Daphnia pulex: one gene and its partners. The protein of the gene in region 2 purifies or fractionates together with the protein of the main gene of each other region. This does not show direct contact. Links are inferred from orthologs where the notes say so. Each region holds a gene or a part of one and is shown on either strand. Other genes may lie near its edges.

Region 1 (4,356 bases), on a different chromosome or scaffold from region 2:
GCTGACCTCAACATCAATCCATTGGCGTATCGCAAACTGGCGCAACAACAAATTCATTATGCGCTTGGAGATACAGGCCGTAGTTTTGTCGTGGGTTTTGGAGTTAATCCGCCGTTGAAACCTCATCATGCGTCCAGGTTTGAATAAAACATTGTGCTTATAAATATGATAGCATTATTATTTTTTAATGTTTTTATTTTTTTTTATGTAGTTCATGTCCGAATAGACCAGCTGTTTGTGATTGGAGCACTTATTCCTCAACTGCACCCAATCCCCAGGTGCTTTATGGAGGTCTAGTTGGTGGTCCAGATAGCAACGACAATTACACGGATGATCGGAGCAATTACGTTACCAACGAAGTAGCTTGCGATTATAACGCCGGCTTCCAAGGATCTGTAGCTGCTTTGCAATCATTGGCTGTCCAAGGTGTTTTCAACTAGAATACAAATTTACAAGATAAGACAGGAATTTGTTACACAACTATATTATATACCTACATTTTAGAAAGTATATTTTACTCTTAATTCTGCATGGTTATCTGCTACAGTACTGCTGATCTTGTTGGTTTTCTTGGAAATGGGATTTATTACTAAAGGTTAAAAAACGCCTGCATTTGTGTGTTCTTGAAAAGTTAAATAAAATTTGGTGATACATTTCTCAAACTATTGGTAACTTTTCAACCGATGCGCATGTCACGAAGAATCGTCTATTAATCTGAAAGAGTATAAGGAAAGTCTGGAATACGTTTGAGTTCGATGTCCTTTTCAAGGTAAAGGTGGTAGCTCGCGTGTTGTTTCATTCAATCTGAAACCTGAATTATGCAACTGCTGAATTCAATAGAAGATGTTGATAAATTGATTTCCACACCTAATTGATTTCCAAGTTCCCAAACATCACAATAGGCTAGTCATTAATCTAGCGTCGAAGTTGATTGGTTTCAAACAAGAACATCTGAAATCCGCACAGGGGGTGATAAACTGATGTATAGAAATCGAAAAATGCAACAAGCGTAACTACGTTTTCCGCGAAGAAACCCGTAAAGAGATTTCGCTGAAATTCCTCGTGCAAAAGAAGTCGTAGTTATCAAGGCTATAGTTCCATCGGGAAAAAAATAAGACAATTTTTAAAAATGTCTAAACAAAAGAATTTTGTGCGTCATCCATATTATAAAATCTACTTGAAACTGGTAGTGTGAGTATGCATTCCATCGAATGGGTCCTGTATTTCCTAATACCAGTGCGTTGCTCAAGTAATTCTTTTCCTCTAAAATGGTTTTAATATGGTGATGGTATTCTTGTTACGCAACTGTATTTTCGTTATTTTTTAATTATTGTGAAGTAATATGCAATAACGTAAAAGAGTTGAGTCTGTGCCGTGTATGCTTTGACCGAATGTAAAGTATAAAAAGGCGAGCGGGACGAACGATGCTGACAGAGAATCCAGCAAACTTACTACCGAGAATGTTGTCTTTATCCGGCTTCATCGTTATTCTTCTTTTCATGCATCTAGCTTCCGGTAAATATTCTTCCGTGTGGTTCCTCATATTTAACATGATTATAGAGTTGAAAAATACACCAATCAAAATAATAAATAGGAGGACCGTGCGATAATGTCGTCACAATTAGCTCATCTTGGCCGGGAGGCTTGACTGCCTCGCTTAATATTTCAATTACGACTCCAATCACTTCATGGGAAATTGACCTGAAATTTTCATCGGCCGTTCCATGGTTAAAGGTATGACACGCTCCTGTTACATCATAGATAGCATTTTTGAATATTTTTATTTTTAAAGGCTTGGGACGCTACAGAGTCTAAGATTAATGAAGTGGAATATCAGCTGAGAAACCTCAGTTCTAACGGAGTTCAGAGCGCTGGGGCTACACTGACGAGTGTCGGTTTTAATGCTTTCTTTAGTTCCAGCACCACACCCATTATTACAAGCGTACTTTTTAACGGAGACAACGTCTGTTTAATTGGTAAGTAACTAAATTATTAATCGTAATAATAGAGAATTTTTGGTTAAATTTTGTTTTTATTATGTCCTTCCAAGACACTAAAACAGAGGCTAGACAACCGATAATAGAAGAAGTAATAAATTTTAATTCTTTGGCATAAAATGGAAAAAGTTGTACTAAATGAAGCAATTTCTAGGAGAACAACCTTTTAGTGGATGCCTGGCCGACTAAATACAATTACCGTGAAGTAATCACCAAATCATTGCTCTTCTACTATGCCCAGCGCTCTGGGCGCTTGCCAGTAAACGATAACCCCATTCCGTATCGTTCAGACTCGGCGCTCAACGATCGTGGACAAGACGGAGAAGATCTCACTGGAGGCTATTACGATGGTAATTTATACTATTATTTGTATTCTATTTTATTCCATCAAAGTATTTGAAATTCTTTACCATATTTATTTAGCTGGAGATCACTTGAAACTCGGTTTTCCTTTAGCCAGTTCTATAACGATAGTGGCTTGGTCGATAATTGATTATCCGCTTGGATATTCTTCCGCAGGTTTTAAAAATTTAAACCAATTTCTCGTTGAATCAGATCACTAAACTTACTGGATTAATTTAAATAATACAGGGAAATTAACAACAGCTCGAAATATGGTCAAGTGGGCGACAGATTACTTTATCAAGGCCCATGTGCAAACTAACAAATTTTATGGGCAAGTGGGCGATGGCGATCTCGATCACGATTACTGGGGACGTCCCGAAGAAATGACCATGAAACGACCGGTATAAAGCCCTGACCCATTATTAAACTCATTTATTTCATCGACTGAAAACTACATTTCTATCGCTTTAGGCTTTTTTTATATCTACCTCAAAACCTGGTAATTTGTTTTTAAATTATATTGTCGTTCAAAGAAATAACACAACATTGCGCACGATAGGGTCTGACTTGGCCGGTGAAACAGCTGCCGCACTTGCCGCAACTTCAATAGTTTTTAAAACAGTCGACAGCACTTACTCAGCTCTTTGCTTGACACATGCAAAGCAATTGTACGATTTTGCTAAACGACATCGAGGAATATACAGCGAGTCCATCCCACAAGTAGCAGATTTTTATTCGTAAAAGCTTTAAATTTAATAAAATTGTTGCGTTTGATGTGTATCCGGTATAATATCACAATTGCCTGTAGGTCAAGTGGTTTCGGTGACGAACTGGCTTGGAGCGCTAGTTGGTTATACCGAGCTACTAACGATAACGCTTACCTCGACGATGCTAAGGCATTTTACACCGATTTCAACCTCTCCGATAATCCATCGGAATTTTCATGGGATACGAAAACTGCCGGAGTACAGGTAAATCAGTTATATTTGTTTAATTATTGTTCCGTTAATGCCATTTAATTCATATAGGTTCTGTTGGCCAAACTGACAAATGAGAACCTCTACAGAAACGCAGCGAAAACTTTCTGTGATTCCAAAGTTGAACAACCGAAGACGCCAAAGGGGCTCCTATTTGTTACCAAGTGGGGATCTTTAGGCGCCGCATCAAATATCGCTTTCATTTGTCTTCAAGTATTTAAAAAAAAAATTATATTCACAATTTTACGCCTGGTGATTAAAAATACGTTAAACTAATATATTAATATATTATTCACTTATTCCGTAGGCTGCCGATCTGAACATCAATCCATTGGCGTATCGCCAACTGGCGCAACAGCAGATTCATTATGCACTTGGAGATACAGGCCGTAGTTTTGTCGTGGGTTTCGGGCACAATCCACCACTGAAGCCACATCATGCGTCCAGGTTCGTGTTTTTAGCTTCTTGTTCATACAATAGATATCCAGAAATATTATACACATTTCTAATTTTTCGTCTTTTTGCAGTTCATGTCCGAATAGGCCCGCCGTTTGCGATTGGGATGCCTTTGATTCACCCAATCCTAATCCCCAGATCCTCTATGGAGCTCTAATTGGTGGCCCAGATAACCAAAATGACCATTACGTAGATGACAGACACAATTTCGTTACGAACGAAGTAGCTTGCGATTATAACGCGGGCTTCCAGGCGTCTGTAGCTGCTCTGCAATCACTGGCTGTTAACGGAATCTTCAACTAGAAGCAGTGCAGGAACATGGAAGATGAGATGAAGAAGATATTTAATATTTTCATCCGCCTTTCGTTTTAGTAATAAATCTTCTCGGTGTTTTTGGTTGTTCGGAATGTGTCAAATAACAATCGGGAAAATTTTTTTGAAAGGGAAAACATAATTATGAGCATTACGAAATTTGGCAACACCGGTGTCGCACTTCAGACGCACATTGCAAAAGTCGAAAACAGACTGCCAACAAATACAAAAGAGCAATACTTTATTCTATCGTTTTCGTTTGATTTGAG
Region 2 (3,646 bases):
GGCTGAGCTGGGTAGTGGTGTGAGAGAATGGCAGAAAAAGAAGCCCATCATTCTTTGATAGAATTAGTATTCTAGATGAATCTGCCGAGTGTGAAAAAAAAAGCAGGAAGAATTTTTTATGTTTGGAGTCGGCCAGTTTTCTTCATTCTATTTTTGAATGTTTTTCTTCATTGTATTCCTCCTCCCCTCCGAACTTTTATCCCATAAATTAGAAAAATCCATCCGTTCGATGACTGAGACACATTCATCTTCGAGCCCTAGAAACAACCAAATTATTTTCAAATTCTTTGTGGTGTGTTATATCCGCCCAACCTCTTTCCTCGATAAAACACAACCAATTTTGTCCACTTAAAAAAAATTAATAGACGTGGACTTCCTCCCTTTCCCGTTTTTTCAATCTTTGTGCATTGATTTTTGGGTCTCGTCTTCTTTCGCGTTTTTCTTTGTGGGTATAATTTTTCGTTCCCCCCATACTGTTGATGCTTTTGCGTTTTCCCCTTTTTTGAGGCTATTTTGTGCAAATCTTTTCCAATTTCGAATTCGATAGGGATCTGGGATAGGGGTTTGATGGTAGCCGAGTCGATTGGATAACACAGACACACAGGAATTATTTTGAATAAATATTCCTCTTAATCATTTGATTCCCACCCGTTTTACAGCGTTTCACATCATTAATTAGTTTTTTGGTTAAAAAAATCCCATGTTTTGTTCGCACAGTGCGGAATATTACTTTTGGGTGTGTGAACCGTTGCCCACTGACCCTTCCGTTATTTTATTTTCTTTTCACATGAAAAGAAATTGTGACTTCCTCTCCTCCCCCTTTTGATGTGTGGCGATTACACAAAATTTTTGTCCTCGAAGACTCTTGATTTTCTTATTACAATAACTTTAAGTGCACACACAAGTTTAACAACACACTGACAAAAATAATAACAGACGGGACTTTATTCAATGACTCGTAACGACATTGAAAAAATGATACACTTCATCACTATCAAACATAGCCACATGTGTGTTGCACGTGGAACACCGTACCGGATGATAAACATCTTCAGACCCACTGAAAGTAGGTTCATCTGACGCCGTCTTCTTGGAACGGTTTTTCTGTGACTGCAGAGGAATTTTCATCACCTCACTCATGTCTACTTGACAATGAAAAGTAAACATAGCCCTGTACTGTGTTTTGATAGTTTCATGCCTACAAGGTTAACATTCAGTCAATACAAGAGATTCAGCAAAGTCTTATGATGTAATTAATTAAAAAGCAGGTCGTATAATTACCTCTGACAGTCATGGCATAAAGTTGTAAAACATGCAGGGCAGTTCAACACCGCATCACTGTTAGGTAAAAGTTTGGGCTTGGCCTGATTCTTGAATTTCTTTCTGTACATGTCTCGCTGCTTTTGTACATAGGATTCATCTTTGAGATCCATTTGAGGATCATAAAATAATTCCATATTAGATTGTGCTTGAGCTGTTGAATCTTCTGTTTCGACATCTTCTTCAGAATCAGTGTCAAAGTAGTGATCTCTTGACTTGCTTTCTGTTTTAACATCACTCCCAAATTTTGTTGGATCTTGAATTTTTTCTTTCTCAAGATAAGTTGCCACACGAAGCTCCAATTCCTTGTTCATTTCAGCCTGAAAATCTTTCAACGACTTTTTTCCCCCAGACTCTGATTGCTTGTAAAATTCTTTCATAACCATTTCATCGTCATCGCTCGAATCGATGCCTCCTTCATCGCTGAACTGTTGGACAATGTAGTCGTCATCTGAATCCATTTTGGAAAAAGAGCTGAAATCGGTGAAAACAAGTATTTTATATACAGCGAAAACTAGCTTCACACTCTTAAAAGTTTTACTCACCGTTATTACACAAGAAACCAATATTGTTTTCATCAACAAGCATTAAACGATGGTCTTACGTACGTATAACTAAGCAAATCAGCATGTGCCCTTCTGTCAATTCTTTGTTGACATCGTTATAACTCGATTCTTTCAGGCGATAGGCCGATAGCTGCCACTGATTTAAAATTTCATTCAAATTGATTTAATGCCTATAAAAAGCTTTAAAAAATCTATCAGGATTTTTAAAAAATAATTTAAAAATAAAAATCATGTAACTTTTCCTGGAATTTTCGATTTCTGTAATAGTTAATTTTTCGCATCGTTGATTGCTTTCGGTCGGTCTGCTTTCACCCCCCAATGGTCCAATCCTCAATCACTTGTGTGAGAAGGACGGCTGGTTGCATTGTGTACAGTGGTGGTACACTGCTAGGTGGGTTAGGAAATAGGACTATTCTTAAATAATTTTAATCGAGAATAGAACTGGTGATATCCTTTAGATTAAAGATTACGTAAAAAAGGGTTATTTTTAACATGTCCGTACGAAAAGCATCCCACGCTGGCAGCTGGTATTCTGATTCGGGTAATATTGACACATCTTTGTTCCTTTGTTTAAATGGAAAAACATCATATTTTAGTTGTTTATCATATTTACCCTTTCCTAGCTAAGGAACTTGGTCGTCAACTCGATGGGTGGCTAGATGCAGCCAATTTCTCACATGGACCAGCAAGGGCTATCATTGCACCGTAAGTTTTTTAAATGATTATTTTTTTTTTACTTCTATCAATAAAATATAAATTTGTGAAAGTCTCTCCTGTGCGAAAATTAACAAAAGCTGTTTATTATTTTACCACAGGCATGCTGGCTATCGTTATTGCGGATCTTGTGCAGGTTTTGCATACAAACAGATTGATCCTACAAATGTGTAAAAATAAGCCTCAAAAATTTTTTTACCTTTTATTTTCCCATCAGTGTGTATGTTGTTGGAACAGGAAACGTGTCTTTATTCTAGGGCCTTCCCATCATGTAAGGCTGTCTGGATGTGCCCTCTCATCTGTAGCCAAATACCGCACTCCATTTTATGATCTCACCATTGATACACAGGGTAAATTTATATTTCACAATTTTGTAAGGGAAAATATTTAGTCTGTATTATTTTTAGTGTATAAAGAACTACAGGGTACTGGCTGCTTTGAGTGGATGAATCTGGAAACAGATGAAGATGAGCATAGCATTGAAATGCATCTGCCTTATATTGCCAAAGTTTTTGAAAAGTATGTGAATTTATTGCAATCAGAATTCTTCACATGCAAATTATTGCAATGTTGTTCATTTTCAAATATCTTGCTGTTTTTTTAGTCACAGAGATTTTACCATTGTCCCAATTTTGGTTGGATCGCTGTCTCCGGAACGTGAAACCCACTACGGAAGACTCCTTTCCAAGTATCTCGCGGACCCCAACAACTGTTTCGTCGTTTCATCGGATTTTTGCCACTGGGGTCAACGATTTCGTTACACCCACTATGACAAAGCATGCGGAGAAATTTTCCAGTCTATCCAAAGGCTAGATCGAGAAGTATAATCGTTTTTCCCTTCTCATTTACTAATATTTACTGTGCCATAAATGAACAGGGTATGTCCATCATTGAAACACTGGATACGGCTGGATTCACCGAATATTTAAAAAAATACGGCAATACCATATGCGGTAGACATCCAATCGGAGTCCTGTTAAATGTAAAAAATCTTGTATTGTCAGACTAGTGAAGTTTTTTAATTGTTATCTATTTTTATAGATGAT
Region 3 (3,652 bases), about 2.4 Mb from region 2:
TTGATAATATTGATCACCATAGAGGTTCAACATGTATAAAATTCTACGTATTTCACTTACCCCGCCAATTTGGCTTTTCAATGTTCCCCGCGGAGTCGCCGCTGAAGTAAGGACTTCGTTATGCACCATTGATGCGGAAACTGCGTAATGGCATCCTTCAAACTTACTCAACTGTATTATCATCAAATCCGTTGAGAACTCGATGATTGGACATTTTGGTATGTTGGCAAACAATTTAACGATACTCAAATTCATTAGAACTACTTCAAAAAGCCAAAAGAATAAAAATAATGGCCAGACGCGAATTAAAATAGCTTGTACCTTGCCCTTTTGACTCCACATTTGTGCGCATACAACAACTTAGCAAAAAAAAAAGGTATTTTTAAAATCTGGAACAAGGATACGGGCTGGAGGCAAACCGTGACTTGCGTGGGTACGAGTAATTTGACCCCACGAGTCGTTCCGTTTGTATCGACTTAATTTACAAGACGTGCTCAGTGTGAATCCTCGTGTATCTTTCAAATGGCAGCTATAACGCCAAAAGACATGGAAGAACGCAAAGAAGGCGAATACATAAATCCGAAATGTATTAGGAATGGAGCTGGAAATGGAAAAAAAAAAAAAAAGTCCCGTTATACAAACCACCTCCACCGAGCGTTGTGTATCACAGAGGGATAGCAGCGACTGGCTTTTGAGAAATGTGTCAGATTCGAAAAGGTGAGGGACCGAATTTTTTAAAGAAAAAAAAAACCGGAAGTTTTTATCAAAAGACGAATCATAATAATAAATTAAACCTCAAATCACCCAATCGCATGGGTAAGAGGAAATAGGGCGGATGAAAAGACATCGATAATAATTACATAGGGAAAGAGTGAAGAGAAAAAGAGGAGAAAAACAAACGTAAGGTCACAATCTTCAGTCGGTTTGTTTTTTACTGGCTGATACCTGGCTCCGAGAAAGATTCAATTGATTCAACAAAATAGATGCAGGACCAGGACCACCACGCTGCATTGTGTAGGAAGCAAGAAGGGATTCAAGAGCAGCAGAATCAATTTTTACGGGTTGAAAGTTTTCCACATCGCTGAAACTCTCACAACCTTCGCTCATGACGGATTCCTGGAAACGAATTCGATGGCTTATTACCAATTGTTTGTTAATTCCACACACACAAAAATTTACCTTGCGAGTAGGGTTGTCTACGGAAGTACGATGAACATCCGTGGTTAACAATTCTTGATCCATTGTTTGCATGTATTTGTTCATCTCCTTGTCTACCAACTCGTCGCCTTCTTCCTCTTCACTGTAGCTGCTCAAACAAGAAGAATTTGATTCCAAATCCCAATTGTCTTCTGGCAGAGCGAAATCTACAAAAGATTTTTTTTTTATTATTTTCAAAGTCCAACAAATTTACAAGAAATTGACGTACCAAGAATCCCTTGCATTGCGGATGCAAAACTATCTGGATCGAAACCAATGTTGGTAGAAAGTTGGGAAGCGTCAGAGGCGTTTGAGAGCGTTGACGTCTTCCTTGAAGGCGGAGCTAGGTGAGAAAGCTTTCTGGATTTCTTCCTGCCGTTGGCCGGCGTAAGACCTTCATAATCTGACGTCCGATTGAGGAAGGTTTCAAGTTTAGGCAAGATATCGGCCTTGGCCTCGTCATCATCATCGACTCCCAACAAACTAAATTTGTCGCCGAGAATTTGATCAAGGGTGGCAGGATCAACAGATAGCCAGGAGTCATCTGTATTGAATAACAACGAAACATGAGTTGCAGTTCTACCAACGTCTTACAAGTGAAACCTTACCGTCATCCGCAGGTAAATGGGATTCTACTTTCTTGAATTTGTCGACATCGGCACAAACAGATTGCATCAGTCTTAAAATGACAGGTTTCTTTGCCGGTCCTTCTACTCCCACACTATTGATGTAAAATTCTCGAGCTTTTTCCATAAGCTCATTATGTGGTTTAGAACCATCGAGGAAATCCTAAAAGAACAAACAGAAATAAAAACACAAATTACTTTGTAAATTTGACAAAATAACTTTCAGTGAAATTTACCTGGAAAAATCCTTTTTCTTTCAGTGTGTTTAGGAATCGATTCCAACGTGAATCCATGTCCAAAGAATAATCGTCGTCTTTTTGGTGTAAGGATTCCTCGTTAGCCAGTAATTCAAATCCAATAGCCTGAAATGATTTGAAAACATAAATAAATTCAAAACAGAAAAGACAAAATCAGATAAAAGAAATTGCGTACAAGTTTCATGCCAAGGTCTGAACCCGTTCGTTTGGAATCGCCAATCGGTGGTAAAGACCAGCCAGTCCTGTGATCTGGCTGGTAGTTACGGTGAACAAGCATAGCATAAAGACATTTTGTGAATGTCACTGACGTCCATACTCGAGTTTCTGGGGGAAAGAAACGCATGGCGCGGATAACCTACGTTACATAACGGGGGGAACAAAATAATTGATTAAACCTTGCCTTCGGGAGCTCGGGTTTGAGCTGACATTTTAACCAGACACTTTTTAAATACCTGCAGTTGAGAGGCATCGCGCTGACAGAATGCATGAATAGCTGGTGCTACAAGAGTCGGATAGGATTGCAGCAAAGCGGCAACACCAGCAGGCACGAATACATTGCAACGGTGAAGACTGGAATCGATTTGAGATACGCACCTGAATTAGTTGAAAGAAAAAACACACACACAAAAAAAAAACCAGGGGAGTTGTCCCCATTACGAAATGGCCTTAAACTCGAAAACAAAATTAGAAATTTCAAATTTACTTGTCAATGCGCTGGTGGATTGGCTCTTGAATGGGAGCGGGTGCTATGGTCAAGTGCGGCATGGAACGAACAATGTGAACAGCGTCCATCAGAGAAGGCTGGCCTGACGGTAAAGGAGTGATACTAGAGGGACGATCAGCTATACTGATTATATGAACTTGACCACCATGGATAAAAACCTGTAATTTTCAGAGTGATAAAATTATAACTTTGTCAAGGAATTCCAAAAAAAAGAGTTAAGCGAATAAACTTACCCTGTTGATGCAAGTTTCTGGGTTGGCCCAACGCGGAAGACTATCGGCAGCTTCAACCAGCAAGAATTCACCATCTGAATCAACAATTCTGTGATGGGGAGAAGAAGAAAAACAAAACAAACAAACAACAAAACTGGTTAGAATATCAATTGTCTAGACCATCCGGTTAAATCACTAATTCAATTATATCCGCAGAAACGGCGGACCACTGGCGCGATGCTTAGTGTAATTGATTGAAAAAGTTGGAGATGCCAAAAATAGTCGCTTACCAATTCACAAGGTTTTTTTCTAAAATAGATTAACTGCGAGTGCGGCAAAGCCAGCAGTTGCACAATTTAGAGCATGTTGGTGACATGTTGGAATTGGGTAAGTAATCAACGGCGATTCACGAAAACAATTTATCGCTTGTAGGGGACAGGAAAAAGACTTCCTGACGAGAGAGTGCAAGCGAATATAAAAATAGCACAGAGGCGGCGATGTGGCAAAGAAGTGGGGAAAAGAAAAACAGGAGAGATAGAGAGGAGAGAGAGAAATGGAGAGCTCCTGTTGTGTCTACGTGAATGGAAGTTCGGCGGACAACTGAGGACTTCAGGTGGACCCGCACCTTCCTTTAGA

What was found.
Region 1: the proteins of E2F-associated phosphoprotein-like (region 2) and pre-mRNA-processing factor 6-like purify together in Homo sapiens (affinity purification with mass spectrometry; 3 studies listed by BioGRID and IntAct, with this or other methods). This does not show direct contact. The link is inferred for Daphnia pulex from reciprocal best matches to the Homo sapiens genes EAPP and PRPF6.
Region 3: the proteins of E2F-associated phosphoprotein-like (region 2) and protein ecdysoneless-like purify together in Homo sapiens (affinity purification with mass spectrometry; 3 studies listed by BioGRID and IntAct, counting the BioPlex papers as one, with this or other methods). This does not show direct contact. The link is inferred for Daphnia pulex from reciprocal best matches to the Homo sapiens genes EAPP and ECD.

Annotation. Positions count from the first base shown.
Region 1 is NC_060027.1:3,689,108-3,693,463, reverse strand, and holds the start of pre-mRNA-processing factor 6-like, read left to right. Parts: upstream 1-1,412; 5' UTR 1,413-1,424; coding exon 1,425-1,515; intron 1,516-1,594; coding exon 1,595-1,734; intron 1,735-1,792; coding exon 1,793-1,976; intron 1,977-2,050; coding exon 2,051-2,088; intron 2,089-2,151; coding exon 2,152-2,347; intron 2,348-2,420; coding exon 2,421-2,516; intron 2,517-2,588; coding exon 2,589-2,743; intron 2,744-2,813; coding exon 2,814-2,841; intron 2,842-2,901; coding exon 2,902-3,079; intron 3,080-3,150; coding exon 3,151-3,313; intron 3,314-3,370; coding exon 3,371-3,532; intron 3,533-3,626; coding exon 3,627-3,766; intron 3,767-3,846; coding exon 3,847-3,997; intron 3,998-4,356. Other genes in the region: endoglucanase 12-like, read left to right, coding at 1-137, 212-440. UniProt on the Homo sapiens protein: Involved in pre-mRNA splicing as component of the U4/U6-U5 tri-snRNP complex, one of the building blocks of the spliceosome.
Region 2 is NC_060018.1:7,628,050-7,631,695, forward strand, and holds E2F-associated phosphoprotein-like, read right to left. Parts: upstream 2,011-3,646; 5' UTR 1,866-2,010; intron 1,795-1,865; 5' UTR 1,782-1,794; coding exon 1,282-1,781; intron 1,199-1,281; coding exon 949-1,198; 3' UTR 512-948; downstream 1-511. Other genes in the region: protein MEMO1-like, read left to right, coding at 2,379-2,427, 2,510-2,591, 2,702-2,770, 2,838-2,950, 3,008-3,119, 3,205-3,421, 3,478-3,582, 3,642-3,646. UniProt on the Homo sapiens protein: May play an important role in the fine-tuning of both major E2F1 activities, the regulation of the cell-cycle and the induction of apoptosis. Promotes S-phase entry, and inhibits p14(ARP) expression.
Region 3 is NC_060018.1:5,231,288-5,234,939, reverse strand, and holds the end of protein ecdysoneless-like, read right to left. Parts: intron 3,126-3,652; coding exon 3,038-3,125; intron 2,963-3,037; coding exon 2,784-2,962; intron 2,675-2,783; coding exon 2,533-2,674; intron 2,436-2,532; coding exon 2,256-2,435; intron 2,186-2,255; coding exon 2,060-2,185; intron 1,987-2,059; coding exon 1,806-1,986; intron 1,742-1,805; coding exon 1,427-1,741; intron 1,365-1,426; coding exon 1,180-1,364; intron 1,117-1,179; coding exon 916-1,116; 3' UTR 495-915; downstream 1-494. UniProt on the Homo sapiens protein: Regulator of p53/TP53 stability and function. Inhibits MDM2-mediated degradation of p53/TP53 possibly by cooperating in part with TXNIP. May be involved transcriptional regulation. In vitro has intrinsic transactivation activity enhanced by EP300.